Alligator mississippiensis: one gene and its partner. The protein of the gene in region 1 interacts with the protein of each later gene in a pairwise test. Links are inferred from orthologs where the notes say so. Each region holds a gene or a part of one and is shown in the gene's direction. Other genes may lie near its edges. The genes, in order: RXRA and NR0B2.

Evidence for each region.
Region 2: the proteins of RXRA (region 1) and NR0B2 interact in a two-hybrid assay, tested with the Homo sapiens proteins (2 studies listed by BioGRID and IntAct). The link is inferred for Alligator mississippiensis from reciprocal best matches to the Homo sapiens genes RXRA and NR0B2.

Annotation. Positions count from the first base shown.
Region 1 is NC_081835.1:61,932,789-61,936,696, forward strand, and holds the start of RXRA (retinoic acid receptor RXR-alpha), read left to right. Parts: upstream 1-1,459; coding exon 1,460-1,669; intron 1,670-3,908. UniProt on the Homo sapiens protein: Receptor for retinoic acid that acts as a transcription factor.
Region 2 is NC_081829.1:2,777,073-2,780,980, forward strand, and holds the start of NR0B2 (nuclear receptor subfamily 0 group B member 2), read left to right. Parts: upstream 1-1,452; 5' UTR 1,453-1,540; intron 1,541-1,546; exon of another isoform or gene 1,547-2,539; 5' UTR 2,540-3,267; coding exon 3,268-3,787; intron 3,788-3,908. Other genes in the region: nuclear migration protein nudC, read right to left, coding at 651-746. UniProt on the Homo sapiens protein: Transcriptional regulator that acts as a negative regulator of receptor-dependent signaling pathways. Specifically inhibits transactivation of the nuclear receptor with which it interacts.

The DNA of each region.
Region 1 (3,908 bases):
AGCCACCTTCCGAAAGACCCCGCTAACTTCAAAGCCCTGCAAAATGGGTCTGGCTCCGCCAGCCTATAGTCACTTCTGAATTTCAGGCCTCTGATTTGCCAGCTGCAAAAGTGGGACAACAGCAGTGGGACGCACCGAGGAGAGAGAGAACAAGCGTCAGGACCCCTTAATTGTCACCACCCCGGCACAGCTCTGAATGGGGGCAGGCGAAGCCCTCCCCTGCAGCCTGGAGCCCCCAAAGTCTTGCCATTCCTCTTGGCAGCCTTTGCAAAGGCCCATTATAGAAGCCTGCTTCCCCGGTGCTTTGGGTTGTTTTTCAGGCAGCGTGACAGGATGAGGAGGAAATGTGCCAGGAATGACTCCGAGTCTCCTCTCTAGAGAGAGCTGGAGTCTATTTTTAAACTCCTGCTCCCCCCCGACCCTGGGCCTGCAAAGGAGTTAGGGGGGCAGGCGGGAGGTTCGCAGCCTGGCGGTCGCCGCTTGCAAAAAAACACCTCCGCAAAAGCAAATTCCAGTTCGGAGGCCTGAAGCCGCGTGAAGCAAGGCAGAGGGAGCGGGGCATCCTTCTGTCCCCGGAGCCAGTGTGGACACACAGCTGCCTCCTCACAAACCCACACACGTGTACCCTTCGCCATGAACACACACACACACACACACACACAGTTCCCCACTTGCAAAAAATAATGCACGCAACTTGGGAAACACTCACAACCCCCCGTCTTCCTCCCCCTGCTTTCCCTTTGCAAATATACACTGCAGGCACATGCATCCCAGGCAGACACATGGACACAAACCACAAGCTGGGATGCTCTTTCCCGATTGCAAACACCTCACCTCCCCCTCAAAGACACTCAAATGCTTCCCTCTGCAAGCGTAAAACACACAACGCACGTTCTCCCTTTGCGGGGGTGCAGAAATGCACCCTGCCACTCTCAAGCACGCATGTGAACGTGCCCACACAGTCTGCAACCCACGTGGACTATACTCAGACCCCCACACAGAGATCCAGAAGCACATCCTAGGTTCAAGATCCCGTATCAAGTCCTGATTATTTTCCGTCTTAGGAAGGTGGCATCTAGAGGCCTCAGACGTGGAGCAGACTTGTGCTAGGGGCTGTACACACATGAACAAGGAGATGGGTGTGATAACTGTGCCATATGCAGCTCTCCCAGTTGCCCAGCCGTTGTCAGAGGCTTTTAAGAGTTGATGCCATATCAAGCTGGGGTGGAAGGTGCCTGATGTAGGGGCTGCACTGACTTTTGCACTGGAGAAGGTGCTGAGAGAGGAAGCTGGGGGTGGCTGAGTGTGGGGAGTGGAGTGGGGATGGGGGCTGGCACCTTAGTGCCATCGTTGGACCATCGTGGAGGGGGTTTTAACCCTGGCGTTTGCTTTGTGTCTTGCAGATTTCTCCAACCAAGTCAATTCCACCTCCCTGAACTCCCCGACCAGCCGGGGGCCCATGGCTGCACCTTCCCTCCATCCATCCATCGGACCGGGGATCGGCTCCCCGCTGGGCTCAGCGGGCCAGCTCCACTCCCCCATTAGCACCCTCAGCTCCCCCATCAATGGCATGGGCCCTCCTTTCTCCGTCATCAGCTCCCCCATGGGACCTCACTCTATGTCAGTCCCCTCCACCCCCAACCTGGGGTTTGGAACCGGCAGCCCACAGGTAAGCCGGCAAAGGGAAGGCAGGGGAGACAAGATTTATGTATAAGCAAGAGGGGGAAAAAACCCAGGAATGGTCAGCAGGTTTCTTTCAGGGAAAGGAGCAGCGATCTTACCTCCACCCGCAAAACTGGAGGGGTGGCGAGACCCGATACCATGCCAGTGGTATCCCTTTCTCAGGTCCTTGCAAGCATTAGTAAAAGCTCCTTGGGGTTGCATCTACACGGGACGCTGACTGCGCAGGAGCTTGTTACTGCTGTGCAGTAGCATCACGTGGCACAAAGAGAGACACTTATTGTGCAGTAGTAACGAGCTCATGTGCAGTCAGCATCACCGAAAAGCTGTTTGGGGACGCCACCGTGCAGTAGGCCAGTTCCTGTGCAGTCAGTTAGTACTTGTGAGTGCGAGTTGCACAGTAACAAGTGTGCAGTCAGCTGTGTCACACCCCAGCTCCACGCCCGAATTTTGGGAGGACTCTAATGAACCAAGGCGGCAACAGGAGACTGAATTAAAAACCAGGCGGCCTGGCTTTCCTCTGCGTTCTGCTTGCTGGAAGGCCCAGGACTTCAGTGGAGTTACTCCCTGTTTAAACGAGAGGAGGATCAGACCCCGTCTATAATGGTGGGCTTCACTTCAAAGGGTCACGGACACAGGCTGCTTTGCTGGGCTTCCTGTCTTTGGGCAGCAAAGAAGCAGGGGAGAGGAGAAAAGATGACTCTGTATTCTGGGATAAGCTGAGGGTCTTCTCTGTCCTGGTACAAACCGGAGCAGCCCCCAGGCTGCTCTAAACTGCGCCTTTGCTGCAGTAAGCCCTATGGCCCAGGTAAAATATGGGTTGCATGTAGTACAGTACTCCCTGTGCTGCATTGTAAGCTCCTTTCCGATGGTGGTAAGATGGCCAGGGGACCTTTCTTTAGGCCAGGGGTCTTCTCCAGGACTTTGTTCTGCCCTGCTCATGGCCGTTTTACGCTGCTTCCCCCTTTGCTCCCCGGCTGCACTTGCTTCCCTTTTCTCCGCAGGAGAGAGCGATGTGGAGGAGGGGCTGGGCTCTGCCGATTGAAGATTATGTAAAAACCTCCAGCTATAAAGAGATAAGCCTGTTTTAAAAATAGCAGGCGCTGGGAGGGCTGGCGGGGCCCTGCCACCTGTTGCTGGCTGGCTACGGGGTACATGTTTAGCGAAAGGGCAGATTAAGGAATTGGCTCCCACCTGCCGCTCGCTGCTGGTTTATTTATTTCAGAGCTTCTCTGGGAGTCAAACACCTGCCGGCGCCTTTATTTTTGTATTAGCCTGATTTATTTCTAGGGCTAACACACTAGGGGACATTTTGTGCGTGCCTGGGAGGGCGGATAATGTGGGGCAATAGGAGTGGGCAAGGGGTCCCTCGGCAGAGCCCATCCTAAATCAATCTGAGTTGTTTCTACTGGGTCATTGCAATGGCACGGGACCAGGTTGAGCAGTACCAGGGTGCTGGAGGAAAACCAGTTGCCTCTATTCAGGGACCATGGCTGGGCCCGATGGGGCATAGTGAGGCTGTGAAATCACCAGGGTGCTTGCCATGCTCCCTTTCTCCTGCATCCTTGCATCTCCCCATCTCCCCCCCTGCCTATTCCAGAGTTCAAGTCCAATGCCATGTGAACCCAGACATATTCCTGCCCCCAGCATGGAGTTAACCCTGGGCTCAGCGGGGCAGACAGGCTGCTACGCTCCTGGAAACCAGGAGGAATAGAGGCAAATATTGCTTTGGAGCCAGCCACCGCCCAGATAGTGCCATGAGAGCAAAGCCAAGGCTGGGGGAAGATGTGAAGCTGCGGGAATGCACGAGCAGCGAGCGGGCCGACGCGGGCAGGGTTTCAGTGCAAAGCCGTGGCTATTTTGGGAAGCCGAGACACACGGCCAGGGGAACCGAAATAAACAGGCACCAGAAGGAAAAGAGGAATCGAGCCTAATGGAGACTGAGTGCCACGGCATCGCTGGGCCCCGACGGTCCCTGTCATTTGCTCATGCTCGATCTTAAGTGGTTTTCCTGGAGGAGACATTTAGGACATTTTCAGTCTACTGGGTTTTTCCATCTGTCCCCTGTCTGCAAGCATTAGGCCCCTATCCTGGCAGTGGCGGGAAGGATCTACCTGAGCCAGCTTGAGAGGGAGGGAGTTCCCAGTCCCGCGTGCATAGGAGGATGGAGGGAGGCATCCTCTCGGGGAGGAGGACAGCAAAAGCAGGAGTACAGGAGTGTGCCCCCC
Region 2 (3,908 bases), on another chromosome or scaffold:
CGGTCTCTTCGTGGACAAATCCCACGGCACTTCGCAAAGGTTGATGCCTTTGTTCCCATTTCACAGACGGGAACGTTTGGGCACCCTTCTTATGTACTTCAGGGGCTTTACTCCAGGGCATCCCAACTTTTTTAGGCTGCGGACCGGCAAGCCACGGACCGGAAGTGACCGGTGTACTGGGGAGCGACAGCCGACCCTTTTTTAGGCTCAATCTAAAAAGAGGATTGGCTGCCGCTCCACGGTACGCCGGTCGCTTCCGGACCTCCAGCGCGGCAGCCGACCCGCCGCGACCTAGCGGTCGGGAGCCTCTGCTTTACTCGCTCCGCCGGAGTCGGTGCTTCGTGCTTCTGAGAGCCCGTGAAAACGACGTGTTTGGCGGCGGCGGCGGGGCTGAGACTGCGTCACTCGACGCCTGTAGAAGCAGCTGGCAAAACCAGCAAGTCCCCTCGAGACACGCCGGCGCTCGTCCCACGACGGGCGCGAAGCCGGACTGTCCGCACACGCGCAAGGAGCGGGGGGCTCCCGCTGCAGCAAGGGGAGTCGAGGTTAAGTACGGGCGGAAAGGGGCATCAGGCGCCGAGGCGAGGGGCACGGCCTAGAGGCTGCAGGAGGAAGAGGAAGACCCCCGCCCCCCGGCCGCCCGGCGCTACCTCCCGCACGCCGCCCGGGTGCTGCTGCGCCATGGCCAGGAGCATGCCATCGAAGCGGTCCTCCTGCTCCGCTACCTCCTCCGCGCTCAGCCCCATGGCGACCCGCAACCGCTGCCCGCGACCCCTCGCCCGGAAGCGGAAACGGGCTCCCCCACCAATCAACGCGCCGCATTCCTCCCGCGACCCCTCGTTGATTGGCCGCCGCCGCGCCCAATCCGCAGACGGGGGGGGGAGGAGGGCGGGCGCTTAGCGCGGCACAGGCGCGCGGCGCTGGTTGCTATAGAGACCGGCGCCGTCTCGCGCCTTCCAGAAGGCTCCGCGTGGCCCGTTGGGCGTCGGAGGGCAGGGGTCGCGGCTGGGTTAGGCCTTTAAAGGGATGGTTGAAAGGATTCGTGGGGGAAGGGGGTGACACGAGTGATGGGGTCACAGCCTTGCCTGGAGGTCAGGGGTCACAGAGGGAGAGGTCACCCCTAGCAGCGCAGGGTTGTGGGGAGGGGAAGGACCCCCCCCACCTTCTCCCACACAATTCCTCCCTTGCTCTCCCGCCTGGGCGGCTCCGCAGCGCAAGAAGACGGCGCGGGATAGATCCGGCGGGGTGCGGCGCATTGCGACGCGAACGCCACGGCCCAGAGCAGCTGAAAGCAGTGGGCCGGCAGAAGAGAAGGCTGAAGCGGGATTCGATGGCGGCTTCAACTACCTGAAAGGCGACGCACGGAGAGGATGGAGACGGGCTGCAGGCAGCGGGGCTGGGAGCCACGGACTCAGTCCCGTGTCCCCCCCGTGTTCCATAGATTCATAGATTGCAGAGTCGGAAGGGACCACAGTGGATCATCACGTCCGACCCCTGCCCCTGGCAGGAAAGAGGGCCGAGGGCAGACGACCCTAGCCAGGTGACTATATCCTCCTCGTGAAGATCTCCAAGCTAGGTGATAGCACCACCTCTCTTGGGATCCCGTTCCAGATCCTGGCCACCCTGACTGTGAAAAATGTCTTCCTAATATCTAACCTAAATCCACTCTCAACTAGTTTACACCCCTTATTCCTAGTCACTCCCTGGGGCGCCCTAGTAAACAGCGCTTCCCCTATCCCCTGTTGACCTCTCCTAATAAATTTATAGGCGGCCACAAGGTCTCCCCTCAGCTGTCCCTTGTGAAGGCTGAAGAGATTCAGCTCTCTCGACCTCCCCCGTAGGGTCTTTCCCGAAGGCCACGAATCATGCGAGTGGCCTCCTCTCGATCTCTCCAGATTCCCCGCGTCCCTCCTGAAGTGCGGCGCCCAAAACTGGACACAGCACTGCAACTGCTGCCTGACCAGTGCCACGTAGAGGGGGAGCGTCACCTCCTTTGATCTGTCAGTCATGCACCTGCTAATGCACGACAAGGTGCGACTGGCCTTGTGGATGGCCTCGTTACACTGCCGGCTCACGTTCATCTTGGAGTCGATTACGACTCCAAGATCCCTCTCTGCCTCCGAGCTGCTGAGAAGGACACTCCCCAACCTACAGGTGTGCTGGGGGTTCCTCCTTCCCAGGTGGAGCACCTTACATTTATTTTTATTAAATTGCATCCTATTTCTCTCTGCCCATTGCTCCAACCTGTCCAGGTCAGCCTGAATCTGCTCCCTCCCCTCCGGTGTACTAACTTTGCCCCATAACTTGGTATCATCAGCAAACTTGGAGAGGGTGCTCTCCACGCCCTCATCCAAATCGCTGATGAAGATATTAAATAATACCGGTCTGAGGACCGAACCCTGCGGGACCCCACTGCCCACCTCCCTCCAGGCCGAGAAGGAACCATCCACCACCAAGAGAAGGGAAGGGAGAGGCTCTCTCGAGATGTTGGTTTAATGAAATCTGATTCTCAAACCCCCCCGTGTTTTTCTGACACCAGGTACCCCAGGTCCCAGCCTTGATCCGAGAACCAGATGCCCTCAGTCCGTTGGGTTTCTTTTCGTTATCTGTAACGACAGCAGCCTGCTGTCAACAAGGTTAGACAAACAACCTGCTGATAACATGACTTCCAGGTTGCTCTTTCCAAGGCCAGAGCCTACAGGTTGTTTGCCACCGGGCTCCTGCTCCAGACAAGTGCTGTGTGTGCATGTGCGCGCTCCTTGGCAATGACACCTGTCATACAGTACTGCCTGATTACGCATCGGGGCCTTGGTACCATGGTACAGGCTGGGTTATCGACATTGTTTATCCTGTTTGGACAACCGAGATAAGCCAGCTGCCCAGCCTGCCATTCTGTCCCGTCCTCCTGGCCCTGGCTGGCACTTTCATTGAGAAAACACTTCTTGACGCCACATGAAGAACTCGCTTCCCCAGCCAATCAGGCGAGAGTCAACTTGTTTTTTAATGAATGCTGCTTTGTCAAAGAGAGGTCAAGGGTGGAAGGGGGTGTTCCACTCACCGCCAGCGCCTTATAAATACCACTGAGCGTAGCAGCCAGAGGGTTGAGGCAGCTGAGCTCAGTGGAAGAGGCTGCAGTCGGAGAGCTTTGACGGGCACAGGAGTTCGCGGTTGTGCTCACAGACTCAGCCTGTCAAGTGCACCCAGATCACCTCCTCCTTCAGAGTCAGTGGGATCTGCTTGGTGGGCAGAGCTCTGAGTGCAGGCAGCATGGACGTGGACTATGAGAGATGCCAGTGCCACAGCGAAGAGAACCGGAACGCCATCCTCTATACCCTCCTGAGCCAAAACCTGAACCACAATCATAGCCCATCCCAGCAGCGCTGCCGGTGCCAGAAGCGTCGCACCGTCTGCCTCCAGACACCCCAGGTCACCTGCCAGGCGGCCTCTGATGTCCTGGTGAAAACAGTCAGCTTCATGAAGAACCTGCCCTCCTTCCAGCTGCTGCCCCGGGAGGACCAGCTCCTCCTGCTGGACAGTTGCTGGGCTCCTCTCTTCATTCTGGGGTTGGTTCAAGAGATGGTGACATTCGACGTGATGGAGACCCCGGCCCCCAGCATGCTCAAGAACATTCTCCTCAATGGCCAGAGCAAGAGGCAGGAGCTTGAGAGGACACAACCCACCCTAGCCGGGGTGCAGCGGCTGCAGTGCTGCCTGAACACGTTCTGGAGCCTGGACCTGAGCCCTAAGGAGTATGCCTACCTGAAAGGAGCCATTCTTTTCAACCCTGGTGAGTGCTCTCAGCAGGGCAGAGGGTACTACACAGAGAATCTGGTCTGGGCTGCTTGAAAGCACGCGTGTACGTGTGTGTGTGTGTGTGCGCGCACGCACGCACATACACACGTGAGCAA